4 linked regions of the Oreochromis niloticus genome follow. The main gene of each other region encodes a partner of the protein of the gene in region 4 in a complex. Links are inferred from orthologs where the notes say so. Each region holds a gene or a part of one and is shown on either strand. Other genes may lie near its edges.

The links.
Region 1: cacna1sb (region 4) and voltage-dependent L-type calcium channel subunit beta-3 share a complex: the UniProt entries of both Homo sapiens proteins name them as parts of the calcium channel complex. The link is inferred for Oreochromis niloticus from reciprocal best matches to the Homo sapiens genes CACNA1S and CACNB3.
Region 2: cacna1sb (region 4) and cacnb1 share a complex: the UniProt entries of both Homo sapiens proteins name them as parts of the calcium channel complex. The link is inferred for Oreochromis niloticus from reciprocal best matches to the Homo sapiens genes CACNA1S and CACNB1.
Region 3: cacna1sb (region 4) and cacnb2a share a complex: the UniProt entries of both Homo sapiens proteins name them as parts of the calcium channel complex. The link is inferred for Oreochromis niloticus from reciprocal best matches to the Homo sapiens genes CACNA1S and CACNB2.

Annotation. Positions count from the first base shown.
Region 1 is NC_031984.2:12,750,341-12,758,834, reverse strand, and holds the start of voltage-dependent L-type calcium channel subunit beta-3, read right to left. Parts: upstream 3,537-8,494; 5' UTR 3,250-3,536; coding exon 3,169-3,249; intron 2,314-3,168; coding exon 2,221-2,313; intron 1-2,220. UniProt on the Homo sapiens protein: Regulatory subunit of the voltage-gated calcium channel that gives rise to L-type calcium currents. Increases CACNA1B peak calcium current and shifts the voltage dependencies of channel activation and inactivation.
Region 2 is NC_031969.2:27,484,465-27,492,206, reverse strand, and holds the start of cacnb1 (voltage-dependent L-type calcium channel subunit beta-1), read right to left. Parts: upstream 3,220-7,742; 5' UTR 3,034-3,219; coding exon 2,944-3,033; intron 1-2,943. UniProt on the Homo sapiens protein: Regulatory subunit of L-type calcium channels. Regulates the activity of L-type calcium channels that contain CACNA1A as pore-forming subunit.
Region 3 is NC_031974.2:16,013,182-16,021,259, reverse strand, and holds the start of cacnb2a (voltage-dependent L-type calcium channel subunit beta-2a), read right to left. Parts: upstream 3,295-8,078; 5' UTR 2,919-3,294; coding exon 2,835-2,918; intron 1,309-2,834; coding exon 1,216-1,308; intron 1-1,215. UniProt on the Homo sapiens protein: Beta subunit of voltage-dependent calcium channels which contributes to the function of the calcium channel by increasing peak calcium current. Plays a role in shifting voltage dependencies of activation and inactivation of the channel.
Region 4 is NC_031984.2:20,027,879-20,035,833, reverse strand, and holds the start of cacna1sb (calcium channel, voltage-dependent, L type, alpha 1S subunit, b), read right to left. Parts: upstream 3,437-7,955; 5' UTR 3,166-3,436; coding exon 2,981-3,165; intron 1,609-2,980; coding exon 1,503-1,608; intron 1-1,502. Other genes in the region: proton-transporting V-type ATPase complex assembly regulator TMEM9, read right to left, coding at 5,607-5,750, 5,855-5,986, 6,211-6,319, 6,455-6,546, 7,645-7,737. UniProt on the Homo sapiens protein: Pore-forming, alpha-1S subunit of the voltage-gated calcium channel that gives rise to L-type calcium currents in skeletal muscle.

The sequences.
Region 1 (8,494 bases), about 7.3 Mb from region 4:
ATTTAATTGCAGCAACATGTCTTAAAAACATTGGGGTGGGGGTAGCAAAATGTTAAAAAAGTAAATGGTACTCAAAGAAACAGCTGGAGAAACATTTTGCAACTAATCAGGCTTAACCACAAATACATCAGTAATATGACTGGGTATGAAAAGTATGTTAGAGAGGCAGAGTTTCACCAATATGCAAAAAAAAAAAAAAAGAAACATGTTCTTCAATGTAAAATTTCCAAGACTTTGAGTATCTCATCATCTATAATATCAAAAGAAACAGATTTTTGGAGAAATCTCTGTGTGCAAGGGACATCGCTGAAAATCAATACTGAGACCCTGTGATATTCAGGCCTGAACACTTCCAGAAATCGCTGTTTGAACGCAGTTCTCTATACTATCCCCAAATACAGGTTAAAGTGTGATCATACAGAGATGCAGCCATATATGAACACCATCCAGAAACCCTACCATCTTCTCTCAAAGCTAAAAATGGCTTAAAAAGCTTAAAAAGGACTGAAACAAAGTGGAAAACTGTTTGGCTGTAATAAATCAAAATTTGAATTTATTTATTTATTTATTTTTAAGACTCTCAGCAAGACAATGCTACACCACATACTACATGGATTTACAACAGCATTGCTTCGAGTAAAAGAATCCAGGTGCTGAGCTGCAGTCCAGACCTTTCACCAACTTAAAGCATTTAGCACATTATGAACCAAAGAATACAATAAAGATAAACCAGGATGGTTGAGCAGCTAGGATCCTCTATCAGACAAAAATGGGTCAACACTCCCCTCCCAAAGGTCCAGCAACTGGACTTCTCCGTTCCAAGATGTTTACGGACTGTTAAAAGAAGAGGGGATGCTACTGAGTGGTAAACATGGCCCTGTCCCAACTTTGACAGGTCTTGCTGTCGTCAATTTCAAGCTAGTATTTTTCTCAAAATGCTACATTTTCTCAGTTTTACACATTTGATTTGATTGTTTCGTTACACTTCGTTTATTGCAAATAAATGTGGGTTTTATGAGTTTTGCAAATCATTGCATTCTGTTTCATTTACATTTTAGAAAGCATCCCAACATTTTTGGAATTGGGTTTTTTGTTTCTGTTAATGCAGCTTAAATCCAAATTCCAAAATTGCACATCACAACTGACTTGAAAATACATGGGAAGAGCCAACACATGGTCCATGTGATTACAACCCTCGACGTTCCACAAAACCGAACAACAGAGCACCTTAACGATATTCAACTTTACTGTAAGAAGCTTTTTAATTTGATTTCAAAAGAGGGTGCTCACCATTTTTTTTGCAAAAACACTTTTCTATGATTAACTCCAGCACATCGCAGATACAAGCTAAACATCTGGTTTTCTCATATCTGCCAAATTTGATAGTTTTGCTGAGTGGCGACGATCTGTTACGCTAAATAACCCAATACATTACAATGACTTCATATTTAAGACGATTTGTACATTTTTTCTTTTTTTTTTGAACAAATTTCTCGGTTTCTGAAACACCATTTACCAGATTAACAGTTTAAAATAATTCATGTTACAGTTCAGCTGTTCAATATTTGGCCTTTCACTTAAAGTCAATATAATCATCTGAGAAAATATTTTTCCCACCCCTTGCCCATATCTACAATCCATTCAAAATAGCTATGCAGCAACATCACAAGGAGAATCCTTTTGTTTCCAATTACAGATACCTTCTTTCTTAAATAACACTAAATCTCCATCTGAGTCTTCCACACATGTCTGACCTGAAAACATTAATTAAAAAAAATACTGAGCTGTGTTGGGATTTTGGTTGAACTTATTTTTTCTGTCAAGCATTTTGCTACCCTCTACTGGGCAAAGCAACCTCTGCAACTGAGGAAAAAGCGCTGTGGATGAAGATGCAGAGCAGAAACTGTCACACTGATATGAACAAAATAAGTAGAGAATCATGCAGGTATTTTAACAACCCCATCCCCACCTCCACCAACGGCAACAACAGCCTATACCCTAAAAAAAGAAATATGCAAGAGTTGCATTACTGCCAACCAGACACTGCGGAGACATTGGCTCTGATGACAAACTTCAAGCACCTTATAGCTTTATTCCAACATTTAGAGCACACCATGACCTACATTTTCCACAGAACCTACAGCTTTTTCCATCCACTAACAATCAGTGTGCAATAATGGGCCTGCAGTGAGACAATCCAGGCACAAAAGGAGCTTTTACCTGTCGTTTGATGAAGCTAGACGTAGTGTCGGAGGATGTGCTGCCATCTGAGCGTTTGAAGCGGCTCTTGCGCTTAGGCAACTTCCTGGGCAGCTGTGAGGAGGAAAGAGATGCACACAGGTGAAGAGATAAAAAGGGGAATGGGTAGATGGATGGCGATAGATAACGGGATGCAACAACTCTCTAGCAGTAATACTGGCAGCAAGGCTGACTATATTTATTTCAGTGCTTTAGTTGCTAATTATTTTGCAGATTTAGATTATTCATACAAAAAATAAATCTACTGCTGGCTTTTAAGGACTGCAAAAGCCAAAATGTATGGTGATTAAGTGCAAAATAGCTGCTTTGCACCAAAGCAAGCTGTAACTGCCAGAATCACACATATTTCAGGGCTGCCTTTCACAGCTTCACATGGTGGTTTGATTAATGCAGAGAGCTCCCTCAAACTGAGGAGAAAGCCTTTCAGATTCAGGCTACAGGTGAGTCCAGAGTCACGGCCTGCACATTTGCACCAATAAAATCCTGCACGAAAATCCCATAATGCTACTGGTGTGTGCTGGTTTCCCTGCACTGGAGTGGATGAAGCGTAGCACGGAGGGGGAAAATGCACTGAAATAAATAAAGCATCAATGCAAAGGCCTGATCTGCGAGTTGAGATCAAAACAGCAAATGCATCGACACCCAAGGAGGTGTTAAACTGTGTATCTGTGTTTAAAAGCCATAATATAAGGATACATGACCGTTCACCGGCTCAAGCATCAATCTGCAGTTTCAGAAAAGGCGGAGGTGAAAAAAAGGGAAAACGGAAAAAAGTAGCTCGCTGCCAAAACGCGACGCCTCAGATTGAACAACAAGTAGCATCTGACACACTAATTAACCATTTTCCTCTTTTGTCGGTGAAGATGGAGTTAGAAGCGAGAGAAATGGGAGTAAAGTGAGCGGATTTACCTGGAAATAGTGCGACTGGGAGCCGGTTTCCACGGCAGACAGAGGGTCTACGGGCGATTTGGACATTTTGACTTGCACCATATATTGAGAGCGCAGGGAGGCGGGATGCACATAGACATGGGTTACTGGAGGAAACAAGAGGCATCAGATACAGTGAAGAGAGCGAAGAAGCGGCAAGCGGGAGGGGGGAAAACGGACACTAATATCCAAACTCAGCTGACGGGAAGGCTAGCTCATACTCCCGAATAAAAACAAAAAAGTCTGTGACGGAGAAACGTAAAGGGAGTGGGGGAAAATACTGAAGCTAAAATAAACCGATAACGCTGAAGCATCAGCGCACGAGCGAACCGTACAGGTCCGTACTAAGTGTGCGACTCTGCCGGGGGTGTCGGCGTTGATTAAAATGACACAAAAATCAATTCAGACCTGCTTACAGTCAACATTTGGCTTCTTTCTTTTTTTTTTAGAAGTGCCTGGCTTCAAACAAACGCCGTGTTCCTTCTCGTCTGTGCATAATATTTGCTTGTCAAAGAAGGATTCAAATAGTTGAAACCGCAGTCAAATAAATGTGGAACCTTCAAAGAGGGCAGCTTTGAAGTCATATTTTAGAGGAGAGGTGGATTTTAGTTGAACGGGTTTGTTTTTCTTTGATCACCTTTGCCTCAGTAAAAGTGGTACTTCCTCACGAGGCATCATTTATAGTGCTTTATGTGACTGATAATAATTTATAAATACATTATAGGTCATTTAGGAGCTATTAATCACTGATACTCAGCAGTCTAATAGATTACGTAGTGTGAACTTAGATTATATGAAACCTAGTTAAGCTCGTTTCAAAATTAATCCATCTGAAATCACTAGCTTTAGATTAGTGCAGGGGTGCAAGCCAGGACTGGCCTGCTAAATGTTCCACTATGATCGACTAAGATTAGATAAGATAAGATAACCCTTTATTGTCATTGCACAGTCATATCTAGTACAATAGTACAACGAAATTGGAAACTGTCCCACGTCGGCACTAGGCACAACTAAACACAACAAAACACAACACAACACACCTTTGCAAAGTGTAAAAACTGAGGCTAGACTTTGCATTGCAATTTGCACCAGGAAGCACTGTGGTGCAAGTAATGTCTAGTAATGAGAGTTTTGTCATAAATTTAATCTGAGGAAGAATTTTTTAATAAAGGTCACTTTTACAGCTTTCTTCTTTTAAACCCTTCTATACCACACTCAAGAGTGAGGCTGCGTGACTTTAGGTTAGATAGTTAAGATAATAATATCTCTTTGTTATGACAGTAAAAGACATATTGGTGAAATTGCACATTATTCGATTGATTTAATAAGGTTACAAATCCTGGCAATCTATCTGTAGTACAAAGAGTAGGCCTGTCTGTGTGCAACAATGCAGTGCACATTACAAATGCTGAGATGTGTTCAGTGTGAGGTTTCTAACTGCCAACCCCCCCACCCCCCAAAACCTGAGGGTTACTTTTGTCATAGGATAGTATTCTGCTGATCAGACAAAAGACCTGGGCTGTAGTTTCAGTAGGTCAGGCAGGTCTTGGCAGTACCTCAAGACCTCAATATGAAAAAGGGGAAGGGAAGCAGCCAGTTGGGCAAGTAAGAGATCAGAGCAGGGGTGGTGGAAAAACTTGCTCCAGCAGTATGGTTGGTGTGCAACGGCAAGGTCTGTGTACACGATGCAAATCAAAAGTGCTCTATTGCTTTTGTCAGTGCTAGAGAGAAGTCACGACAGCACATGGACCCAGCAGTGGGTCTTCTTGCAGCAACCTGGGACTGGCAGAAAGTTGACCTGGGGAGACACCATAGCCCTGACCAACCTCAGGCCTGATATGGTGCTAATATCAGACTCACTGAGGCAGTTGGTGGTCCTGCTAGAGTTGACCATTCCCTGAGAAGACCAGATGGAAGAGGCTCCTTGCCAAGTAGCTTACAGGTGAAGCAAGGCATGGAAGACCCATTGTACCTCAATGTACTAGTAACTAGCCCATGAAGTTGCTCAGGATCAAGGGACTGAACATCATTAATTTATTGACCATGGGCCCACCGGCGGGCCCATTTTACAGGTAAATTTGAAGGGCCGGTCAATAAAGGGTTAGTGCTCCTGAGAAGACATCAAGATGGCAGTGGACCAAAAGGGGAGACCTGCAGATGACTTAAGCCACCCAGACACAAGCTGGAGACTGATCACCCATGGCTAGGTTGCCTGGGTACTGGTGTCTGATGTTGAAAGACCTGAAATACCTGATGACACTGGGTTTGGTTGCACTGTGGGTTGTGTGTTAAAACAAGCACTCTCATCACTCCCTTTTGTCCCCAAAACAATTAAAACTCTTATTTATTGTTATTTGTTATTAATGTTGCTGTTTTGTCGAGCAGTCTTTAGGGTTTCCATGCAGAAGTGCTTTTTGAGCTGCACATTTCTTGTTCAACTCAAATAATTGAGAAACATGTATATAAGAAAATTTAGTATTTTGAGAATCACTTTCCACCATTTTCATATTCTACAAAAATCTGCACAACTTGTTCTTTGGTAGTGATTTACAGTTTTACGCTTTTGACATGTACAGGCCATGAACAAGACACCTCCAGAGTTTCCCCTCTGGGGAGAAAACACTCTGCCTAAAGCTAATGCTACACATAAACTACACATTTCCTATCAACCATAATTAGAAATAAAAGTGAAAATATACAGTTGAAAGGGTAAGTGAGAAATTAAGTGCTATGATATCCCAGGATAATCAATATTTTATGGTATCTTAGAAGGGAAAGGGTGGAACATAAAATTGAAGGTTGAAATAACAAATTGATTTCCATTGGACTGAGTGTCAAAGTATGATTTTTGCCATTACACCTTTAAATCTTTAGTCTAAAATTACTCCCGATGCATTCATAGATAAAGTGTAAAAAGAAACTGGAGCAGTGAGACCTCTCAACAGCAAACTGCGGCAGCAACTTACAGTGAAACAATTTCATAATAACCAACGAAAACAAACTGAAATTTTACCCTTACAAGGGCATGTACATTCTGAAAACTGAACCACAGTAGATGATGAATAGCCTGACCTGTCTTAAGAAAAAAAAAAGTTTAGTTTTAGCAAAATCTGTCAGTTTTTCCACATTTGGTCAGTCTGCTGTTTTAACAAAAACAAAACAAACGTCTCTACAGTAACTACAAGACACTCCTTACTTTAACCACCTTACTTTGGTGTGGTATAACAGGAAATGGGAAATGAATTTGTCAGTAAGAAAGTGTTGTAAGTGATCGTGATTCAAACCTCCGGCTTGGATAAACAACCACTTTCATAACACGACACCATTCTTGATGACTTCCTTTTCATTCTCCACCACGCTCCCTAGAGTAAATACAGTGAAAACTACAGAAACCATGCACACTCGCCTTGTCTGCATTACAAAGTCATCCTGTTTGGCTGCACTGGCCTTTTTTTTTCTTTTCTTTTTTTACAGCCCATTACAGCTCTATAGCTAGTTGAGTTACAGGCCATTTTTAACCTTTTTGTAAATTCAGTAAAGTCAGAAACACCCAAACAGTGACACATCCGTGGTGTTTTCATTTGTGATATAGTCAGATTTTATTCAAATTAGTTACCATCCTGTAGCTGTTTTGTCTGCCTGATGGCTTTTTTTAGCTGCATGCTGGATCCAGTTTCTCTTCCTGTTGTTAAATGTGGACCTAAATATGAATAAGACTTTTCTTATTCCAAAAATTACCCAGTAAAAGTAATAGAGGTGATCCATTTAGCAAAACCTACAGAGATCATCACATCACATCACCACACACCCCCACCCCCACTATTTGCTTCAGTTTTCACCCAAAGCCTGTCCTACAAAGACTCCAGTTGCCCCTTTCCCATCAATATGGCTCTGGTGCAGTGATGGTGCCCATGGTAAAAGCACCAAAAGCTTGCCATGAGATGTGCTACAGCAAACTAAATAAATAGTCAAATCATCAATGACTGATTATTTTCTTTACTTTTATTTGATTTGATTTTTTATTTGTTCACATGAGCCTCTCCTGTGATTTCTCCTCCACTGTTGCTACCTCCTTAACAACTGTGGATGTTTATCTCTTAACATTATAAATAGCAGGCAGTTTGACCAATATGCTGTCTATTTTATCACACTAGGAATAAACTACTGGTTTGTTGGCCAGGTTTGAAGAATTGAAACAGGGCTCCATTAGTAATTCCAGATTCCACATTCAAGATAATTTCATTAATTATTTATTATATTTATCTTAGTTTTCCCGAACAGCAGTCCTTTTTAACTCGGACAGCTGGCAGTTTGCTGTTCAAACTCAGAAAACCAAAGATCCTAAAGCTAAATCTAAACAATAACATAGTGGTAACAACACCAAGCTTTGACTTGAATTATTTAAACGCTTTAAAAACTACAGGCTAACTTTGAATGGCTTTTATTGACCAGATTGAGCTATAAGAGGCCAGGATGATTACGGCTTTCGTTATGCTGACATAACAACTCAGTGTGTCAATATGCTTGTGTTAATTTGGTTAAAATGACAGAAATATGTTCCATGCGATAAAAATTTAAAGTGCAATATTAAACATAATAAATTCTGACATGGACTCAAGTTGTACCACAAAGTCTCTGATGATTTTATAACTAATCAGTTTTACCACAAAAAACCCAACTAACATGTAGTGGTCTTTTAAAAATTTGGACTTCATTTCTTTTTGTTATTTAGCATAATTCATTTCACGTGTTGTCTCTTTAGGACAGTAACGTATTAGATTATGTCTATTATATCGCAGTTACTGGCATAACTTTAAAAGATGGTTGTGGGACGTGGCGTAAAGTGCATCTGTGTTCTGGACACTCAAGTTCAAGTTTACAGCTTAAATACCAGTGTTAATTTAAGCTTGTCCACTGTAACCTGCTAATTTCTGTTTGTTTAACGCTCAGTTTTATGAGTTGTCAGCCTTTGTAAACATCACTGTAGTGTCCTGTCTGATTTAGTTTAGGCACTGACGATAAATCAGGAGGCACTGCTTAGAAACCAAACCCTGTTCATCTCCAAGAAATGACTGTGATTACAGAGTTTACAGGAGCTGTTGGATTTTACTGTAAACTTATATTATTTCGGTTGTTTTTAATTAAATCAGAAGCAAGTGGAAACTATATACAGAACAAACATTGTTTAAAAACTGATTCCATTTGATTTTTACAGAGAAAGCTGTGAGAGTACTAACTATTACTATTGTTTTGAATGTATCTATGTACTGCATTTAGCAGGTTGTATTCTTCCAAAGAAGGCATCAAT
Region 2 (7,742 bases), on a different chromosome or scaffold from region 4:
AAGATGTGTGTGTGCGTCCATGAAAATATTTTGTCACGCAAAAATATCAAACAGATGTTGGTTTGTATTCGGATATTTAACTTAACATCAGTAAAAGGCATATAGGATGTGCTATTCAGGGTGCTTTACTCTGCTTACAGTTGCTGTTCTTCTGTAAGCCGCTTTGCAACCCACGTTCACATCAGCTCATCCCTTTCACAGTTTATCTGACTTTATCGGTATTTCCATTAATGCCCCCTCTGTTCCATGCATGGGTCTTGCTCCTGCTCTGCCACATCTCTGCAGCCCGCAGTCTCTGTGCATCAGCTGATAACATTTAATCTCGGTGCTGCTCACATCAACCGTTTGCTTGGCTGTTAGTCTTAGAGCGTCCAACTGGCAAATCCCACATAGTGAAAACACAAAGGAAATTTCTGGCACAACTTCATCTACTTCCAAGGTGCATGGAGAAGGCTCATCGCCTAAAGAGGCTGAAGCGGCAGAAATAATTGTGTGATGAGGAACAACTTTAATACCTTAGCATGTCAGCTTGTGGCCTTAATCGGGGTCATGAAGAACTATATTGCAGACAGCATTTCAAATAGCATATGCATCCAGTATACCTAACCGCCAATCCACTCAAATGTATAATGGGTAGTTTAATAAATCCTCTTGATTTTGTGTGAGTTATCATCTAACATTAAGAGGTGACTGTGCTTTGATATCCAGGCAGTAGTAAGATGTATATTTTGGTTGGACAGTCTCAGTTTCACATCTGTCTTATAACAGCAGCCGCATATCCACTGAAACGAGCTAAACACTCTTCCTTTTCCTAGTGATGGAAGACAAAATCCATGGTTCTTGACCTGTGTGCAAATATACTGTCATGGTTATGTGTTTTTATTGGTAATGTTCTGTCCTTTGAGTCACATTTTGCTGCTACAACAAAAACAGCTGTACTTTTTAAGGAAATTCAGAGTTTTTAATGTTTTTAATGTTGTTGACCCCTTTTTTAAATAAAGTTTTATAGAATCCGTTCTAATGTTTTGTATCATTCCTTGGTACGGTAATCTGTCTTTCAATAGGACCAGACCGGTAAGATTTTACCGGTCCAGCTTCTTTTTTTTCTAATAATACAATGTATGCATTGTTTGATGAGTGGACATGCCACAAATCAATTTCTCATTGGGGACAATAAAGTTAATATTGAACCCAAAAGTAGCCTCACAGCCCGATCCCATTGTTTGTTATGCTGGAGAAGCTCCTGTGCCACCAAATATGTCAGCAATTAAGCTGGTAAATTTGATCACATCTCACAGCATGTGTGATATCAGGTGCATACATGCATTAGCATGCATGTTTTTAGAGGGATCTCTATGATTGGAGCCATGATGGACCTGATTCCTGTCACTAAAGAGCAGAGAAATGCCAGAGGAAGTGGGATGGGAAGCTTCCTGCTGGTAAACATCCTCCCAGATTAAGTGTATAATTAAGGAGGGTGCTGTTTGTGAAAGCAGGAAGGCAGGGAGTATAAAGGGTGGAGGGTGGCACACTGAAAGGTATCATAAACATATTTCATTCTTTTAACCAGAACCCTCTATACAATATTGTGCTCAGAGAGCCCAACTGATCTGCAATGTGACAGCGGTCAGCACACACAATCTTTAATCTAAGCTGCCCTCAGGTTCAGAAACTGGATAATTTCTTGGCACACAGTTCATTTCTTCTTCTGTGTTAAAGAAGTGGCTGGTGAGAGAACTCTGGCCATTTCCTGCAGGATATTAGAAATGTGTTTTTTTTTCTTCTTCTCTCTCTACAGCAGAAACACAAGTGCATATAACAGCATATCCCGCTGCAGGTCAACATGAACTTTACATCTAATCTGCCTGGCACAAGCACCGTGCCCATCTGCTTCTCACCACAGCCTCTCAGCAGATAAAGATCTGATTTCTAAAAACAGACATCTCACATGAGGTGAGAAGGCGAGAGCAGGATGGGCATAGTGGCACATTCAAAGTGGATGGAGAGCTGAGGGGGAGAAGTGGGAGTAAAGAGGAGAGAGCGGGACTTGGCAGGGTTTGAAGCGCTGGTTGTCTGTGATGGTGAGGTGTTCTGTTTTTTTCCCCTTCTCCAGAGAGATAATGACTGAGCCCAGCGTGGGTGTGTTTGTTCTAGATATTCTCATCTTTTTTTGGTCATCCATTTATGTCTAAACATGCCCACAACGTCATGTCACTTCCTAAGAGCCACTGTGTATTTGTGGCTGTAAAACAGGTGACACCATGGGGAGATAAAGGCTATAAATGAGTTATTATTATTATTTTATTTGATGTTTTTTGTTTGTTTGTTTGTTTATTTGTTTGTGGGGTGTGTGTGTGTGTGTGGGGGGGGGGGGGGGGTTACAAAATGGGAAAAAATGTCAACAACATAAACCAACTCCACCTATGAAAAACTCAAGTCGCTCTTTCATTTATGGAAATTATTAAATCCCCCCCCCCCAAGGAAGCTGGTCAATTCAACATGTTACTCGATAATTAGACATCAATTAAACAAAGGCGTGGTTTTCCTGGGAACCCGCTGGTCAGACGGCATATAAACAAGCGTCACATCACGGTTACATAGCACAGACTTATTAACGCCAGCAAAAATTAAACACAGAACAAGGATGTAGCTATAAATCAAAATCCGTAGTGAAGAAAAACTAGTATATTTCATCCATTTCACTTCTTCTTAAAATCATTAATTTGACTAAATTCATCAGTGCAGCGTACACGAGCATCTCGGCACCCCGAAGGCAAATTAAGCGACTTAATTGGAAACAACCTGTTAATCTTCAGAAGTGCAGCAGCTTTAATGTTCACCAGCACCATATAGAGCATCAATTCAAAATAGTCAACATGGGATTTTTAACATAATACTTCCATAATATTTACGCTTTACCCTCTTCCCGTTTCTTGGTCTTACCTGTGTGTGTGGGTGATGGTCGAACATGTCCATTTGGATCTCCTGGGTTGAGGTCGAAGGCGTCCTGGACATACTACTTTTCTGTACCATTTGATTCAACTTTTTAAAAATCTATTTTCAGTTTCTAGTTTAGTGTGTTTACGATGGTGTCGATCGACTCATCTTTTATTTTTTTTTCCTTCGGAGAGAATGAAGCCGCTGATGCGTCTAAGCTGGTTGATAATATAATGGCAACAGCTGCCTCCTTCCAGCCTATAGCGTTACACACTGTCGCACCAGGCTTTTACACAAGAGTCAAGTTATGGGTGTGACGTACAGATACATCCGGTTATCCTGCTTTCAAAACAAAATTCTTTGAATAGGTAAGAAGCATCACTACAAGTATTATTATGTTTACCTGTTTGAAAGTTTTAGATGTTTATTCCGTATAGCACATGTTCAAAACTGCGTTTGTTATGTATAATAAGGTAAAGATTCTAGAATATTAGAGAGAAATACATTTGGCAGTGGTGGGGAGACAGAACTCCCTTTTCACAGTAAGAGACCTCTGGCAGAACCAACTTTTGCAAACAGCCCACCAACAGCCTGAACATACAGCAGGGTACCTAAGGGTTTCTTCAGGGACATCTGATCCTTTGAACTTTGACCCCTGTGTTCCTTCAGGGTTAGCAAAATGCTAAAAGGCATCAGTAATGCAAAGTGTTGCTGGACTTTTGACTCCAGGCACCTGATTGGTCCTGGGTTTACTCTGCAGTAGGACAATAGGCCCAAACATACAACCAGTCATAAGCCATGTTCGGTGTAGTGTGTTACTTGGGCTTTTTTTTTTTTAGAGTATGTAATTAACATGTAATATGTCACATTTTTGGAGCAATAACCCCAACACTGGCCATAAGGAATTACACTCAGCTGAAAAAAGAACAATGAGTCCTGAAACAGATGAAGAACTGTTCCCCGAGACTTAAAACAACTTACCTATCAACATCAAGTTATATATACAATATTGTTTTTCATTGTTTGCACTGTGTAAACAATGCAAAACACTGGGTTTCACTAGTTGAGTGTTAGGCTAAAACTAATAGATGGTAGCAGTTTTGTTAAATTTATATTTGTGAAAGACAGTAGAAACTAATGGCTATAAAATCAGTCGACCTAGCGCAGGCAGGCTTTTATTTTGAAAGCAGCGTCTTCTAACTACTCTCGGGTTTTATGTGTTTCTCTTTCTGTCTTGACGTCGATTCTTTTCCTTGTGTGCGCTCAACTCAACAGACTCCAGCTGGAAGCCGAGATCCACGCCCCACTGAACAGACCCCACCCTCATTTATGGATTGATGGAGAGAAGCGAGCCGCAGCGATGGATGCTGTGGGTGTGGATAGGCTGTCAAGCTGAGCCACTGGTCCCCGCACCGGGATCCAGGAATCAAAGGTCCCGCGGGGCTATAATGGGGGGTGAGAATAGTTCAATTTGACAGCTAGTTTGTTGTAGCAGCAGGGAGGCTCAATGCCTGACGTCTCTATGATTTGAAGAAGAGGAGAATGATGTTGATGTGGCCTTGGGTAAAAATAAATAAGTAAATAAACTTTGGGATATAATGCTGATCCAGGAGCAGGTAAGACTGTCTGATGTGCCCAAATTTTGCATTACCTAGCTAAATAAAGACAGACATATTTTAAAAAATGAATCACTATCATCTCACAGTTTTAATGTATCTAGTAAAAAAAGTTATAAATAATTAACTTAAAGCTTTCAAGATCATCAAACTAAACATCATTTTTTTGTCCCTTGGAGTTGTAACACCAACAGAAAAGACATAAATGAGTGGACAGCTAAATGCAAATCATCACTTGTGGGCAGATGCATAGGCAAACCATCCCATGAGTACACATCCAGTAAACAATACCTTTTATCTTTGCTGTCCTCTAACTTAAAAACATCCATGCCTTAACCAGCTCTTCAGCTAGCTATTTCCCGACTTGTCATTTGATGCTGAGCAGGTAGCTTGCACCTGGTTTATTAAGGCACATTGTTTTAGACCGAAAGTGAAAGCAAAGTTTTTGCCACTTATCAATTGCTCAGATTTGACTTTTTGATGGCGTTATTTAGCCTAAGGCCCCGATATTAAATGTATCTGTTGGACAGACATTAGATGGAAGCCAGTAACAGAAGCATGACACATGAGTTGAGGGGAAACTTTTGCAGTCTCATGATTTGATTTGATTTGATTTAACTAGATTTACTGTAATAAGTGCAGGCTCCACAGTAGGAACTCAGTGTAACAGTACAACTTTAATTACTTAAATCTTTTATTTTTTTCATTAATTTGCATCCTGTTCTGCCTTTGCTTTTGATGACAGATTAAATTGTCTTTGACATGCAGGACAGTGCAGATCTATGAAGAACTGTTGCTGTTCCACTGTTCAAACATTTTTTAAAACCCTCTTTGCTGGTTTGTCTTTCTCTTTAAAATGCTGCAAAAGTGTTCTGCTGACCTCGACTCAGGCAGCAGGTCACAGTTCTTAGTTTCTTCTCTTTTAGAAATTCTTTTTTTGGCAGTGTGCTTTGGATGCTGGAATATTCCGCTTCTGCTACTCTCTTGTCAGCTAGTATTTTGATATATTCAAAATAAAAACGTTATTATATAGTACTCCCACCTCAGTAATAAAGAATTATTAGCATGCATTTACTGAGGAAATCATGGACACGAACACACCAATTATGCCACCAAACAAAGACTACAAAGAAAACCACAGACACCTCTATACATCAATACAGAGACCTGAAAAGAGCCCTCCACTTCTGGTTTCTGGGGGGTTCACATCACTGAGCACCTTTCCTGGGATGACGACACCTTTATTTATTAAAAAAGTCAAAGAGAGCCAACTTTCCCCCATAATTGCTTGCCAAATTTTACAGACTGCGATCACAAGCTGCATGACAGCCTGGTAGGGTAGCAGCACCAAAGCTGACAAAAAGGCACTCCAGTGTGTTTTGAAAACAGCACAAAACATTGTTGCCAGCCATCTCTGGAACATCTCTGCATCACTCGCTGCTTGAAGAGTGCCGAGCAACTTCACAAAGACACGACACATGCTGGACACCATTTGTTCAAGTTCCTTGCAGCAGGCAGGTGCTTTAGTGCTATAAAAGCATCCACAAACAGATTGAAACTCAAATTCTTCACAACAGCTGCGACACCACTAAACTGTACTTCATGTACGGTCCTGATGTGCAATATTCTTATGTTCAATTTTACAGGTTTATGACAAAAACTGTGCACCAGAAGCTACTTAGCCATGGACACCCATGCCATGAAGCACATGGTGCACAGTTTTTCTGCTGATGTTAAAGACAGAGGACATTTGGAACTCTGTCAGCAGATGGTTGGCCACTTTTGCACACTATGCACCAGAGGGGTTAGGGAGCCACTAACTTTATTTGATCTCCCACTTTGTGTCTGAGTTGCTGTGGTCCCTAAAAATATCCACTTTGCTTTGCTCTAATTGAAAGATTAAGCGGTGTGGTCCAACACTTCTGTTCCTATACATCATGTGACGTTGCTTCCACACTGACAATAAAGGTCTCGTATACTGAATCTGACCAAAAAATATATTCATAATATTCAAGATCTTTAGAAAAGTTTAATCTCAAAATGTTTTTTTTTCATGCTGTCTGATAGTCTCTGTGCCAAATCTAAAGAAATAAAGCATCTGTTTTTCAGGACTTGTTGTTTAAGCAGTGCATTGTTGGGGACATCATTTTAAGAGGACAGTTAGTGTGGCTATAAAGGCACTATGGCTTATTTTATAGTTCCTGAATGGACCATTTAAAAAAAATTAGCTACTGGTCTTCCTTTAGAATTTTTACATCTTCATGAAGTCTTACAATAAGAATGTTCACTTCTTCTGCCAATACTTTTTTGATGGAGCCACGATGAAGATATGCTAAGTTAACTGGAAATCAAATATCTGAAATCCTGAAAGATGCCTTTATTTTTAATCTATTTGTTCACCCTGTGCTACTACTCTAAAACTCTTTAGTGGCTTTTGTGAATCAGCTCAGAATAATAAAAGATAAGAACTGTGAACCTTTTTTTTCACCTATCCCCACTGAGAGTGCATGTGTTTGTTTTCTGCTGAACCTTTGACTGACGTCAAAACTCACCAGAAAGTCTTACTGCTCTGGTTTTTCTCCTTTTTAGCTGTTTGCTGAAGTTCATCATGCAGTTTTAACTCACATCTATTGATGCAAACTTCCACATTTCTGTGATACTTCATGGAGATTGTATAGTCAAAGAGTATCCCCTAAAAAAGGAGCTGAAACACCTTAAAAGGTTGTAAAAATTCAATTCAAGTGCAAGTGCAAGTCTCTGAGGGTCCATTTGGTATTTGATTCCTGCACATTATTCAGTGTGGCATTTTCAGATGTTTATACGGCTAACTGTTATAGCGAATTATTCCCACCTCAAGTGCATGGCTGAAATCGAAATGAGCAGCCGGTTCCCAAAATTATCGTTAGGTTTGGGTGTTGATGAGTTTTAGATGACGACAGTCACGGAAATGCAATAAACACTGAGTTCACAGAGCATTGATGATATCCGTGTAAATCTGAATAAACAAAGGGATGATTCATCCACCTCCTCCTCTCGTATCAACCAGTCACAAAGGAAAATGAACCCCACACCTGCAGCAGTCTTTGATAAAGCCCTTCTGGGGGGAAATCAGTGTGACGTCCTGATTCCAGTTGATGCCATTGGACTGAACACCCACAAGATCATCCTCTGCGGCTGCAGCTCATACTT
Region 3 (8,078 bases), on a different chromosome or scaffold from region 4:
AATAATAACAGTGAAGACAACATCAAATGACAGGCTGATTAAAAGGCACTGAGATCATGAGTGTGAGTGGTGGTGTGAGTTTAGCTACTTAGAGAGTACACTCTCATATATCTGTAAGTATGACTGAGCATGAGGCAAAGAGAAATAAGGTCAGAACAAAATGCTGTCATGAAAACATAACTGAATAACAGTATTTACACTGTTATCTAAACAGAGGTGAAGTTACTGGAAGGTCTGCTATTTCTGGGGGCCTCTTGCAGCAAATATCTCAAAGAAGATATTTTTGCTCTGCATGAAAGAGACTCTCTGACTCCCAAAAAACATCATTCCTTTGCTCCGCACCATCTCTTTTCTGTCTCTCACTCAAATACCCTCTCATTTCCCTAACATGATGATGCAGACTGACAGTCATTCGCAGCACAGCCAACTGATGACTCTGACTGAAGGGGAACTCCTCATTTGGGGAGAAGACTGTGGGAATGGACATTAGCTCCCAAGGGTGGTGGGAAAATAAAAAATCAGGGAATTTCTCCCTGAGCAGCTTCAGTTGAGCTGCAGCGCCTCATTGAGAACTTCTCTGTGGCTGTGAGATGAAGTAGACAGCAGCCTAGGAGGTGCAATTTTGATCTGACCTCCTCCAGCTTCCCGTCGCTCTGCTGCTGCCGTGCCAAAGACGAGGCGATCTGTGCCTCCTCCAAAAAAGGCAGAAACATTTAAGCAGGAGTGTTCATCCTTAACTCAGCCCATTCTGTCCCTTTGCAGGTCTGCTCAACAAAGACCAGACTCGCTGAGTGTGTACCTCACAGGGTCTGCTTTATAACAGGCCACAGTGTCGCTCTGCACTCTGTGCACAGAAGATGCATGTCAGATGAGAGGCTTCCATTTAACATACTGTACCCAGCAGTGTTTACAGAGGGCTTTCATCGCAATGCACATCTTACTGCTGATGGATGATGATGACTGAGCCTGAGCCCTTACACCAGTTTGCATTTACTGTCAGGCATTTATACAAACACACAAGTGTTAGATTCCAACGGGAAGTAACTGCAGCCAGAAACTTGAATTATACTTCATGGTACTCTTTTATCGTGGTCAGATACATCTTTGTTGTACCTATTTTGGTCTAGGGCTTTAGGCACCAACAGATAGTTTAGAGATGACAAAAATAAGACACCGATAGGCGAGATCAACAAAAATTCAAATCACCACCCTTACCTGGCGAACAAGGCTGTTGGTTGTGGTGTCGGACGAGGTGCTTCCATCTGAGCCTTTAAAACGACCTTTTCTCCGAGCTCCTTTGCTTTGAGACTTCAGAGCCCCCCCAAAAAAAGACAGGATAAAACTGTTTATGAGGAATCTTAAAATCTTAAATCTTAAAACAATATACACAAGAGCATGCAAACTAATACATTTTCCCTGTAACAGATTTAAGTTCATGTGCAAAAATGCATTCAGCAGAAAATAATATGAGACTCATAATAAGTCATTAATGTTTACCAACAAATGCAACAACTGTGGTTAGATCAATTTCATTATCAATATGTTTTCTCTATGAAATGTCAGATAAAGCATTTGCCTCTCCAAGTACAGGGTGGTATCTCAAGAAGGTTGTGTCTGACAAAGATTATCAGTGATTATGAAAGCAAATAGAGCAATTTAAAGTTATCTGAGTGACCAGTTCTGCTTCCAACATTACAGCCTCCGTCTTCACTGATGAATTTCACTGCCTAGTTGAGTGGAGTTGGTGAGTCATTTCCAACATAAAATAATTTTTTATACCAAAAAGACTAACTCAAATATAAGGTCCTAATATTCTGCAATAAGACTTCAAACCAATGGCATTTAGCCAGTATTATAGCCAGTATCAGCCAAGCACTGATTTCCACTGTTTCTTACTTATTACAGATTGAGTGTTTTCACTTAAGGTGTAATGTTATGACGTGTTTCAGGAGATGAAGGTAATCACAGAGGTAGACGGCTTATTTTTCAAAAGTGACATCCTGGAAAAGTAATGCACGAAATGCAAGAAAATAATTTCAAATCTGCCTTTTTTTGTCCCCCTCAGTCCATACCCTCATACAAATACCCTAGGACCAAACAGAAATATCACTATAGGTGTTGAATAAATGCACTGTACTCCACAGAGCAATACAATACATTATCCAGTTTTCATTATTTTACCTGCAGGAATAGACAAAAGCCTTTATAAGATGTTTTAGACATTACAATGTTGTTGATACTGAAATTACTATGTTTTTCTTTGAGACTTTACACTAGCTTTAAACTTAAATGCCGCTTACCTGCCACTAAAACAGCCAAAACACCCATACATGCTAAGCACCTAGTACTTAGTTACTTTCGTTTTTACAGCAGTACTTCGAACAGAGTACTTTTTGCATTACACTCGTAAATATGTAATTACTACCACTGGCTTTACAATTGAAATACTTCCGGAAGTACGAGTTAATTTGACGAGCATCCAGGCTAGCTTACTTCAAAACGTCGTGATATTAAACTAATAAGACATGTCAAACTATTTTCAGTCCTTGAAAGTGAATATCCAAATATCAAACCTGACCCACAAATAAGTTAAAAAAAAAAAACCTAAACAAAACAAACAAAAAACAAGTTAATAAAAAATAAAGATTCGCCCTCGCGACTTACGAACCTCAATCAAAACTTTAATGAGGCCACCTGCGCTCACCAGCACGCGCAAAGGAAGCGGACAGGTTGAGAGCAGGTGAGCTGTTTGACGTCTCTCAGCGTGCAGTGCCAAGGTTTAAAGTGGCAGTTTAACAGGAACTGTCAGCTTTAATTAAAATGAATTAACTCACTTGTAACATGGGATGTTCCAGAGCGTCCATGTGTTTGTCCGGAGGTGTTCCTGCTCTGTTGGTTGGGCTAATGTTGACGACCATCACACCATTTGAGAAACGCGGATAGTCGGTAAAACCTCTCGGGTTGTACAGATGCTCCAACTCTGCCCGAGACAAAAGCGCATTTTTACACAGTAGTGTTGAAGAGTTTAATGCTGCTCTTCAAGTTTGAGTCGAGTTAAAGGAGGAGCTTGTGCGAAAAATGGCTGTAGTTTTTCGCGAGTTCAAGATGATAGTGATGATGTGAGTCGTCGGATATTATAGCCTTCAGCATCACAAAGCCCCCTCATCAGTTCGCTCCTTCCTACACTAGCTGAGAGAGCTCTCCTGCTCCGTGAGCCCTCAACCAACGCCAACACCTCTCTGCCTCCTCACAGCGCAAAGGGATGGAAATGAATAGCAGCATCCAAACACAAAGTCGGCATGAACACGACTGAAAAGCGTCAATTCAGAGTAACTTTGATGATCAGAACTGAACAAGTGAGAGAAATCAGGTCATAGCTACTGGGAGGTGTTTAAATCAACAAAATGATGTTTTTATTGTAATATAAACCTGATGTGGCCGCTCACAGGTATTGGCACCAAAGTAGAGGTGCCACAGGGTGGTGGAGGTGGTGGTGGTGGTGGGGAGGACAAAGAGAGGGAAAACAGAGGAAATAAGACTATTTTATCAGAAATGAATACAAAAACAAACAAACAAACAAAAAAACCCATACATGCAGCCCAAATACATATAGTAAAATATGATTAATGTCTCAGTACAAGTATTTAAAGTAAAAATTATTCATTTCTAATGGCTCACTTCAGAATCATATACATGATAGATACTTCAATCATCCTTAATTTATTAAAGATTATGATTATTAAAGATATTAATTTATTCAATTTAAATTATTGTATTGCAGCAGCACGATAAAGAGTAAAAATAGTACAGTCTAAAAGAAATAAACCACATTGTTAAAGTAAAAGTGCCACAGGTGCATAGTGAGGGTCTAATACTGTGAGAGTGCGAAGTTTTAACAGAAATTTTAACAGTGATAAAAAACAAAACAAAGAAAATAAAAATGAGGTTAATACAAAGAAGAGTAAAAAAATTGGATCACAAAGACTGATTCGTTATTATGTGCATTACTTGATTGTTGCAGCTGTAGTTAGATTAAATTACTTTTTTAGAGCTAGTTCCCTTTATCTAAATAATAAGCATAGCACCAGATGTAATGAGGAGAGGCAAATGTGACTGAAACAGAGGGCTCATGGGCTACCAAGCTGAGATTAAGTAGTCGTTAGCCAGTGAGCCTGTGGCTTCATACCACAGTCTTCCATTTTGAAGTACAACCAAGATTTTACTTTTTTTTTTTTCAATTCAATATGATCCAAAATGAGTGACTGAGACCATAAACTCATGAGGAAAGTGTTTCACAGGTCAAGAGCCGTTTTCCCACAGACTTATACTAAAGGACTGAATGTCTTTTTGCAACCACAACTATCGCCATCTGGTGGCCTTCACATAGAATGCAGGTTTAAGGCACTTTGCGTTGGCTTCATTTTTTCTGACCAAAAAGCTGTATTCATTTTTTCTTTCTATGCTAATAGCACTGGGTGAAAGGAGTATGGTGCCACCACATAGGCTGTATATAAAAAAATGGATGCAGCAAAAATCATGTCATATGTGGACAAGAGGGTGGAGTACTAGTTACTTAGAATCTTGATTAGCAGTTCATAGACTGACTGGTTTGGTTTAAATGCACACACATGCTAATTAATGCTAATAATAAACTAGTTGGACAATTGTTGCTACAACAGGCCTGTTTGTCAAATAATTACATTAAGAGGCTCCAACAACACAGCATAGTCCAGCTGACTCTCATTTATAGGAGGCAGTCAAAGCTGCCACATGCTTAACTCAGTATCCAGATGGATACTGGACATACCCCTGCACCAAGAAAATGTTAAATATACTTCTCTGAAATTTTTTTTTTCCATATTTGCTTCTCATGTAATAAAGAAATGGAGTTATCCAGTTAAACTGGGATATCCTAAAAACATATATATATCATCATGTTATCATTTGGTGCAGGAAACCTGAAAATTGGAGCAGTGAGCCAAAAGCTGACAGCTGAATAATTCGTATTGGCAGTTAAGTACAGGCAGCATAGCTGGCGGATGAAAAAAAAAAAAAAGGTGCTGCACCTGTTGACTATTTCATTATTGAATGAGCTCTTTTTTATAAATATGTCATTGTAAATACAATAAATTAATTAATTAAATTAAAAAATACCTCTCAGTTTCATATTTGATGACATACTTGTTCAGCCAGTAGTCTAAAATGCGAATATATTGTTTCTAAAATAAACTTGGCACTTGGCAGTAAGAAAATCTTTGTTTGGTCGATTATTTCTTTGTTGTAACAATGCTTCCTGGCAATAAATCTTATACTGTTGGAAAGCCTGTTTATTTCCCCTTCCACGATGCCACATTTGTAAGAAAAATGCATTTGTGGGTTGAGCAGCTGGGTTGAGTATGGAGGTTGCACCATGAAAAAAAAAAGCTTATTCTAATATTGAGTCTTGTTTGGTGTTGTTTATTGGATTGGATGATTAAAGTCTGAAGGAACGAGACATATTGGCCATTTAACAGTTCATCCAGTTAACAAACAGGGACAGTGCAATGTGAAAGAACCATACACAGCCACAACAGCTTGGCACCTCCTCCTCATGCTGGTCATCGGCTTGGTCGCACACCGGTATGGGATGGCGTCTGATTCTTCAGTGGGGTTGAGGTCAGGACTGCAGGCAGGCCATTCCTTCCTCTCCATTCCCAAATTTTGGTGATAGTCTCTGATAAATCCTGCTCTGTGGGGGTGAGTGTCATCTTGGAGGATAGAGTTCAGTCCCAGACTGTGGAGATATGGGATTCCATTTTATGGTATGTTCCAGATTTTCTGGGTAGAGAGCCGTCAGCCATATTGTACTGGAAACTTTGATTTCAAAGCTGTAGAAGACTATTTACAGTTCCTAAATCCTGACAGGGTGGTGTTGTCTTCTTGGGACACCCATGTAGTGGCCTGTCTCACAAATCCCCTCTTATGTGGAATATGCTCTTCTATTTGGAGATGGTACTGAGCGCATTCAAAAAAAATGCTGCAACTTGGTTTTGCAGAACACCAGCTTGAAGTTGCCCTGTGGCACAGGCCCTATCCACATTAGTCAACCGTGGCATGCTTGGAGCAGACACCAATCGACCACTGTAGCAGGGTCCATCCTCAAAGGTGCTGCTAATCAGACACCAGTCAGTCATGATTGGCAGCACATGGGGTACAAGAAGCTCAGAATAAGATATAGCAGATAGCAATCACACAAGAAGGTTTTTGGCATTTGTAGAGAAGATTTGGCAAGTTTCTCATGGGCGCAACCCACAAATGAATTCTCCTTACAAATGTCTGTGAAGGTTCTCAGTCATCCAGGTCATCGTAGTCAAAGGAGTTTGCAAAGAAAAGCGTCTGGACTTCTTTGAGTTGAAAGCAACTCAAAGAAGTCCAGACGCTTTTCTTTGCAAACTCCTTTGTCTCCTTACAAATGCGGCATCATTTAAGGGGAAATAAACAGGCTTTCAAACACTATGAGATTTATTACCAAGAAGCATTGTTACAATAAGGAAATAACTGACCAAACAAAGAATTCCATACTTTTTGGGCTAAGTTTATTTTGAGAAAAGAAAGCAACAAACTTTCAGATTACAAAATTTCATGCATACCAAAGGAAAATCACCAGGTTTGTATTAAATGTATCTTTCGTCTGTTTTCAGGCTTGAAATGAACTTTTATTTATCAAATGACCACAAAAACGAGGAAAAATAATAGAATCCTAGTAAGTAAGGTAATACTGACTTACACTAACAACACACACTGGACACTTTGAAAGGTACACCTTTCAGACTTACGTTACTTTGAATGTGGTATGGTTGTTGGTGCTAGACAGGCTGGTCTGAGTATTTCAGAAATGCTGATTTACTGGGATATTCCCACACAACCACCTCTAGGGATTACAAATAGTGATCTAACAAAGTGAAAATATCCAGTGAGCTGGAGTTCTCTGGGTGAAAAGGCCTTGTTGATGTCAGAGGTCACAGGAGAATGGCCAGACTGCTGTGTGCTGATAGTAAGGCGACATTAAATCAATCAAGCAAGGTATGCAGAGGAGGATCTCTGAATGACATCTCTGAAGAACCTTGAAGGAAATGGGGTGAAGCAACAAAAGAACACACCGGCTAAGAACATGCCACAATTCACATGGCCTCAGCAAAACTGGACAACAGAAGAATAGAAATAATTGCCTTACTGATGAGTCAAAATGATGTGCCATGTCACAAATCTCAGATCATCTAAAACTGGTTTATTGAACTTGATTATTAGTTCTCTGCACTCTATTGTCCTGCATGGTCACCAAATCTCAGTTCAGTGGAACACTTTTAAGATGCAGTGAAAGGGGAGATTTGCATCATGGATGTGTAGCCGATAAATCCAACCCAAAAAAACCTTGCATTATAACAGATGCAACGTCAGGATATTTTTAGTGACAGATGTAAAGATTAATTCATAATTTCTACTTTTTATTGTTTGTTGAATTGTAGAAAGCTAACTTTTCTTATCATTTCACCTGTATAAATGAGTCATTTAGTAAAACAAGGTAGTTTGTACCAGGTAAACTGAAAGAAAGGAACTGCATCTACATAATATCCTTCGGTATGAACTTTGCAATCTCGCACTCATGGTATAGTGTCTCCAGTAAAACCATGCTGCTGCTGAAGAATGCTATTCTCAAAAGACTTTAGAGAGCTCTGAAGTTGTTATTCATTATTGCCCTCTAGTGGTGTCATGTGCATTTGCATTTTAAAGGGGAAGTTATGTGGGAGCAATTTCTATAAACACTGATGCAAAAAAAGGAGATGGCCATGGTGGTGGATGCACTCTGAGTGTCTCACGTGTACCAAGACTTTCTGAAACAAAAAAATTATCTTGCTGAAAACTACAGATTCATATTTTAGACCAGTTATGTATACTGTTATATCAGGACACAATGAGGTCCACAGGAGGTGATGTTCAACAGTATTTGGACCAATTATCAGTTCATTAGTATCTTATTTTTGAGGTAAAGGTTCATTTTAGCAATGATTTCCAAAAAAAACATTAAGTGAAAAATGTAC
Region 4 (7,955 bases):
TGTTGTAGAACAAAAGGCTGTTAATATGACAACAGTATGATAAAGCTTCAAGAATCCAGTAGGAATCCAGTCTTACTTCCAGTCCTAACAATCAGAAATAGAATAGAATAGAATAGAATAGAATAGAATAATCCTTTAATTGTCCCACAAGGGGAAATTTGGTTGTAACAGCAGCCAAAAAGACACATATACAAACAAACAAACAAACAAACAGTACACAGGACACAGAACAGAAACATACACAATTTTTCTTACATATTTACATTAAGGACAATGGTTACTATATACAGAGAATTCATTTGAGGTATGTACTGTAACTGACATGCAGTTTATTTCCCTTTCCCTAAATCAGCTCAATAATCTCTAGCTGAACCAGCAAACACTGGTCCTAATCACTGACCCTGCATCCATTAACGCGTGTACACACATTTATAGGCTTTTACTCAGTGTTACCCCGAGTAAAACGAATTCACCAAGGAAAGCTGCCCTGCTAGGCTACTGCGCATCAACATTACAAGCTATCATATTATTGGAATACGTGGCTGTGGTTACACGAGGCAACATTGGCGGATTCTCCTGTATCACCTGCATCAGTGGAGTGACGGTACTCAGGCTGACCTACTTCTAACAGTGAAAGAGGGGGTTGGTCCATCTCTTCTTGCATTTTCACCTGAGGAATGGCACCGTGAGAACTAAGGAGGATTTAGGAAGAGGGCCAATGAAGAGATCAGCTCAGATTTGGGTTCCTAATAAAAGTAAAATGGCTATAAATCACAAAGACTGACATGAACTTTAACCCAAAGATATATGTGGAGTATTATTGACTTAATGTAGGAAAGTAACCGATGGCTGACATTTGTGCTAAATGCCAAACCTCTAAGAGAAAGTGATCTATTTATCATAACATTGGTGTCAATAGGACACATCCAATAAGCACTGGCCAAATATATGCACGGTGCATGATCAGATATATGTTTTGCTCACATGTGCATCTTGTTTATCTTTATAGTCTGTGACCTGTAATACACTACCAACAGTTTCACAGCTTTAAAACACACACCTATGAAGCTGAAACATAATATCTTTCTGGACATACATCAGCATCGTCCACCTGCCACCAGCTTTTTTACACTACTTGAGAACGAGACACTCGATGACTCGTTCCTCTGCAGACACAGATGGGGCTCCAAATAAAGAACCGAGTTGTTTCTGGACACATTCAAATGGCGTTTGGCATCCCACAGCTTGTCACTGATTCAAAGCTGTAGTAAATTAATATTACTACACTCACTTGCTGATCAGAGCTGCACAGTCATCTACTAGTGATGGTAAAACTGAGCCTTCATGAGCCCCAAAACACGAGATTAATTTAGTGTTTCAATTCTTTTATGTATCATGAATATTATGAAAATGAAATATCGATATAGTCATCATTCACCACAGTGGCCTCTCATACAGTCATGTGACATGCAACAAAAAAAAAAGGCTCAATGTTTATTTACCAAATTTAAGTTGGTGTTGTTGGTGTCGTCTTCAGGCATGGGCAGGAACACAGCCAAAGCTACACAGTTTGCAAAAATGGTCAATAAGATGATGATCTCAAAGGTTCTGGAAGGGGATGCTCAGGATCGTGACAACGACAACAACAAACAGCAACAAAAATCAGAGTTTGCCCCCCCAAAATATCCACAAAGGTCTATTGTCTTATGTTTAGTATGTTACGATGTTAATGGGTGAGAGTGGGAGGATGACTTAATCTTTCACAAGAATAAAACGGTCAGTTTATTTATCTGACTAAGTTATTTTACGTTTGTGTTTCAGTGTAACAAATCCAGCTCTGCAGCAGCTCTGTAGGCACTGACTAGTGCCTTTAAATGCTGCCTGAAACATCATCCCTGAAGCAGCCCCCCTGGGTAGCCAGCAAAGTGTTCCACTTTAATGTAATCTTGCCTGCTGTGCTGCTTCATTCTCACCCATAGGGGGCTCTCTGTGAGAATTCCCCTGCCAGGTCAGCATGATGTCTCAGTGTGATGCCATGGGACAGCTGCAGAGCCCAAGAATATGACCAAACCATTTGAACACAGACTGTTAACCAGGAAAGAAATAAAGAAAAAAGTGGCTCTTTAAATTTTGAGATCCGTGTACGAGGACAGTTTTTTTTTTGGGTCTTCAGACTTTTTAGTAATTTTCCATAATTTGGCTCTCTATACAGCACCTAAGCCCTGTGTTACCAAACCACATACCAATGTGATTAAACTGTGGCGGTGGAATGACTTATGACGTGGTCCAACATACCAGAACGAAATGTCAAATAGAACAGATCTTTACACATCATCACGTTTTAACATGTGGTCACTCTTAAACTCAAAGTCTGTGTATCTGCATTTAAACGCTGTGAACAAGAGGTTCCTATCACTGGATTGGTATGATCAACTCATTCCAGTCTGGATCCAGGAATGACCATGAGGCTAAAAGCAGAAAATTGCCTACAGGGGCCACAAGAGCTATCAAAAGCCCGCGTTGTGCTCTTTCATCTTCTCCTACTTGGACGCTGAAGTCACTATTTGGACATTTAAAAAAAATAAGGAGCGAGTTGAATAAGACTACCTTGTTAATTGTTTTTTTGCCTGATGCTTTTGTCAGGTGATCTCAGGTTAACAGCAGGTGAAACTCCACAGGCTGCAAACTTGACTTTGATACAGATCAGAAACATTACAAAAGTCTTAACACTTCAGGGATCATCTCATCACACATTTGGAAGAGACCTGGCTTGAGCATGCTGACCACAGGTGAACAAGGCTATTAATTCACTGCCCTGCTGTCAGTATTTTTAAACCGGGGCTCCATGCTGCGCTGACTGTATAATGCCATGTATAATGCCTTGATATCCTTGAATTTCAAAGAAATATTTAAACTGAAATTTCTTCTAAAATACACACAGTTGTCTGAGGTGTGTGTGACTGAAAGATCTAAAGGATACTTCCACTCCACTATGTTGATGCAGGCTTTGCGGAAGGGATTTTTGAGGTTGAACAGGAAGAGAGATCTCGCGGGTCGAGGGTTTCCTCCAGTGGCCTGTAGTTTCTTAAGCTTCTCCCTCTGCTTCCTCTTCAGCTCCTCTTCATTCATGATGATCGGCTTGGCCGCTTCTGTGTTCGACGCCATCTTGATGCCTTCACCTTAGACAAGCTCCAAATTCCTGTGAAAGTTAATGTTTATTGTAAAATCCCAAACTCAGGTCCAGTGTGTCTCCCCTTTGTGAAAGCAGATCCTCCTCAGGCTCCCCTGGCACCCTCTTTCTTCTCCTTCTCCTCCTCCTCGCTCCTTTGTCGGTCTCACCCGGGCAGAGCCACAGGCCTCTCTGCCTGGCTGAGGGCCTCTGACAAAATAAGCCCACCACGTCCAGGAAAAATAGCAGGAGCCCAGAGTGACTGGAGGAGCAGTTGGCCTTGGTATAGTTTAAATTTAGATTATGAACCACCAGCAGGCCATGCTTGGGGATGATTATAAGGGTAGAGTGAGGGGGGGGGACTGTGTCTCTTTGTGTGATTTTGTTTGTGTATGTGTCTGTATATGTGTGGTTTACTTTACTGTCAACCTCTTATTTAGGATTCATAAGAAGTACAGAGACATGTAATCATTAAAAAAAAAAAAACACTATAATGCAGCTCTATGCATTTCTAAATAATAACTGAAGGCTGGTATTTAAAGGAATAATGAACAATAGGTATCCGTAAGTACACCCTAACCGCTGTAAGCGCCTCAGATTAAACAATAAAATCTTCACGTTTCCATACAGCCCATTATGGTGCCTTACAGACCGTTCATTGATTGTGTGGTGCGTGTAAATGCTAAATCAGGGTTTGCTGTTTGTGATATAGCTAAAAAGAAAACTGCAAAACTTCATCAGAATAATATTCAACACTGAATGATGGACTCAATACTCTGTAACATTCACTGTGACCAAATGATTTAGTGTTAATGTTGTTCATAACCAAACAATTTAAATGAAAGTCAACCAACCGACTATCACCAGCCCTTAAAACAGTCGGTAGAAGCGGCGCTGTTTTAAAACGTGTAATTCCCAAACCAGGACGTTTGTAGTTACACATTTTAAAACACCTTCTCAAACTGGCAACATGATCTTAAACATGCCACAGGTGACTGTTTTCCCAGCAGCTGAACACCACTCAACATGTAAGACTTCAATCTTCAAGCACCACAGACCAGTGCAAGAAGAACGCGCACTTACTGTGTACTTTGTCGCCCTCTAGCGCCATTAACAGGAACAGCAAATCTGAAAGGAGAAAAGTAATTGAAGGAGAAAAAAAAATTCCAAAACCTTTTTTTTTGAGGAATTTCCTTTTATTATTTCACGTCAAGCTAAACATATGGTTCTATAGCACACTTAGGCCAGAGATGCATATAAAACATTGACAGCAGGGATATTAAACTATAATTACAAATCAACTAATCAAAAAACAAAACAAAAAAACAAATCAATTAGAAACCAATAAACTTCAGTAGTTCATACGGTGTATGAGGTACAGTAATGCAAGCCAGTGTGCCTGTTTTTGCTGTACTAATAATTTCCCAACTGGGAGCTTCAGTAATAGGATGCGAGCAGGAATTCACTGACAGATAATGATGCACACAAGGCCCTTTCAAAGCCACGAAGCATCTGGATTCTGCCACACTAAACCACATTATCATCAGCTTTAGTGGTTTAGGGCATTCTCCTGTGATTTTTCTGAGAGTCCTTTTAAAGCTCTGCTAAATGCCTCCTTTTCTTTTTCTCTCTTTGCATGAAAAGAGTGTTTCGTCACATTGTGCTGCAGAAAAAAACAAAAACACACAGATGTGCTGCTGGGTTCAGTCAGAAAATTTAAAAATAAAATGAGTACAAATGCAAGCACTAGTTAACAATGGGTGAAATTTCTTAGTTGACCTTCCCGTCTGTTATTTTTAGAAAGCTGTAGAGTTTGGAGAAACACGATCTCCCACACAAAGAGAGAGACAGGAAAGGCACAGAGTGGGGCGCTGCTCAAATGTGAATATACAAAGTCCAAAATCAACAATCATACATTAAATTCATCCAGATTTAAATACCAATAAATAATTAGTGCCAAAACAATAGCAACAGCATTGAGACTGTATAGACAGAGTAGTCCTAATTAACTTAGCTTATTCTATCTGAGATCACATCATAAATTATGCTTGAAGGAAAAAAATTATAAATATTAACACACAATAAGCTGAAATGCTTTTGACAGCCAGTGCAAAATGGGAAAAGTTATTATTTTATTAAGACATTCAAAGCTGCACTGATGTCCAATTTGCTGAAAAGATTTGACATTAGGTCATCAGGAGTGCTTCAAGCATCAGTTTTCTTTAAACTGCAGCTTTGCCCATCTCAAGTTTTTACATCTAGTAAATAAACCAAGTTTAAACATTGTCGTGTTAGATGTGTGATGTTTAAATATTAATTCGGCAGATGCGGTGCACAGCAATGACAAAGAGGTTTTGTGATAGTGCCACTGGTGTAATATCAGACGGCCCAGGAAGGTTACGTACTCTAAACTTGGTGTTGAGGTCAGCCTTAAGGTTTAACTTAACAACTTGTGGCGGTCAAAGACTGTTTTGCGCTGCTCCTGGACCTGCTTTTTCCAGCGCTGCTGTGCTCCCTCAACCCGCTCCAGCACCGTGTTTCCTCTGGCCTGGCTGCTGCTCTCTGGCTGCGGACGCATCTCCTGAACACAAACCAGAGATGGTTTGAAATCAAGAACTTCAAACTCCACAGAAATCAAATAAATACATTGGAGTGTGCTTGGATGCTGTTTTTTTGAATGGTTACCTCAGAGTCTTCCTCATTGTGCAGCGGCTGGGTGTATGGGTCATGCTTGCGGATAAGAGGATCAACCAGTAGCAGGAAGAGCATGTAGAGCAGCAGGGCGCCCACAACCGACAGGTAAATGATGATGGTCACCTGTCATATTTAGCAAGAGTAACTCACTGAATCCAACATACAACCTTTGCAAACTATAAATTCTTTTCTTTTAAAAAACCCCAAAACAAAACAATAAACTAGAAAGGCTTTGCAATATTTTCAACGACTCATCTTATATGACAAACAATCACAATGACCCGCTTTGCTTGGGAATAAAAGCTGAGGAAGATATGTCGTCATATCCGAAGGAAAGTCAGTTGTACCTTAATTGTGTTGCTGCTTCGTTCTTCATACTTGCACTCACAAAGCAGACAGTAGGCTTCCACATCATGGCCAGGAACAGGCATGGGCTCCACTACATGCAGGCAGTTGCTGTGAAAAACATTAAAACGTTTGTCATTTCTACTGAGCTAAGAGAAAGAAAACCCCTAAAAACAGCAGCGCAGTGAAAGAGTAACGCCTTTTCTTTAAAAATCCATAAAAGTCTAAATAAAATATTTTTCTTACCAATCTTTCTGGGAGAAATTTCTGTTATAGATGTGACCGGTAATGTTTCTGTAGGGCGGGCAGATGCATTTGCAGCGGACATCCTCAAAGCTCTGCAAGAATTAAGGAACTTTTGTGAAAGTGGCCCCAAATTCAGCCCATCTTTCCCCTACAGCACTACTTGAGACGTCTCTCTATTATTAACACAAGCAGTTAAACAAACAAACACTCTGACATATACTCCAGTTATTCTAAGTCAAATGGCACAAACACACAGATGAGCACTAAATTATGAGATCCTCTATGGAAGTTTTATCTTTTGGAGTATTTAACAGTGCAAGAAGTTTTAAAACACAGCTTTTCTTTTTGGATGCTTACATAATTTTAATTTGGGCACAGAAACAAAATTATTTCACATTAGCCAAAAACTACCAGAGCCAAAACTATTAGCCTACGATACTATACATTTGCAATTTCCAACCAGTCTCACTCACACCTCCTGAGTGATCCCACGACAATTTCTCAAACGCCTCCAAATTCGATGGTCTTTTGGAGGCAGTTCTTCACAGGAGTGATGTATGTTTTGGGTCATTATCGTGTTGGAAAATAAAGCAAAACCCAGACCCAGTTTTGCTGCTGACTGCTTGACGTTTTCTTTCAAACACTTCACATATCCATCTTTTATGATACCTTCTACCTTAATGAGATTCCCAGTGAGTTGTACACCTTTTCCCTTTTGTCTCATCTGACTAAAGGACTCACTTTCTATGCACACTCATTCTCCAGGTTGACCTTGGCATACTTCAGTCTGCTTTGAAGGAGTCTCTTCTGCAGAACTGGAGTTTGTCTTAGTCTGCAACCTCGCAGTGTATTCCTACTTCTAGTTCTTTAAGACTACAATCCCCAATTTGGCTAAGAAATCCACGAGTGTCCTGACAGTAGTTCAGGGGTATTTACATAATCATTATTTAGATAAACTAATGTAAGACTAACATAAACAGGTATTCTTTAAGTAGATGTAATTGCATAATTGTGCTGGCAATATCGCCCTTGAACTATTATTTTACATTTCGTTATTTAACTATACAATCTTTATATTTCACTGAATAAAACTGAGCACAGTTTACTGAACATCTTCCCATAAACAAAGCAATACTTGATGAGATTTAATCCACAAACACAGATCCTCTGTGTACCAGCAGGTCTTTTACCTTAGCTCGAGCAAAAACGACAACATCCAGCAGAAACACGGTCACCACTGCGGCTGCAGCAAACATCCAGGATCTTCCCCAACCACACGACATTTCCCCAAAGGCAAAACACCTGGCACGACGACTGAAGGATCACCAGCAAGGCTCTGTCAAAATATAGCAGTTAGCTAGCACTGCAAGGCAGGAAATCCACGACACGAAATGTCGTAAAAACAAAGCTAGCAACGCGGTAACTTACGCTGTGAGAGTGAGGAAAACGTCTGTTTCTGCTTTGCATTCAGGTTGAAAGTGTGCTCTCACTTTGTTTAGAG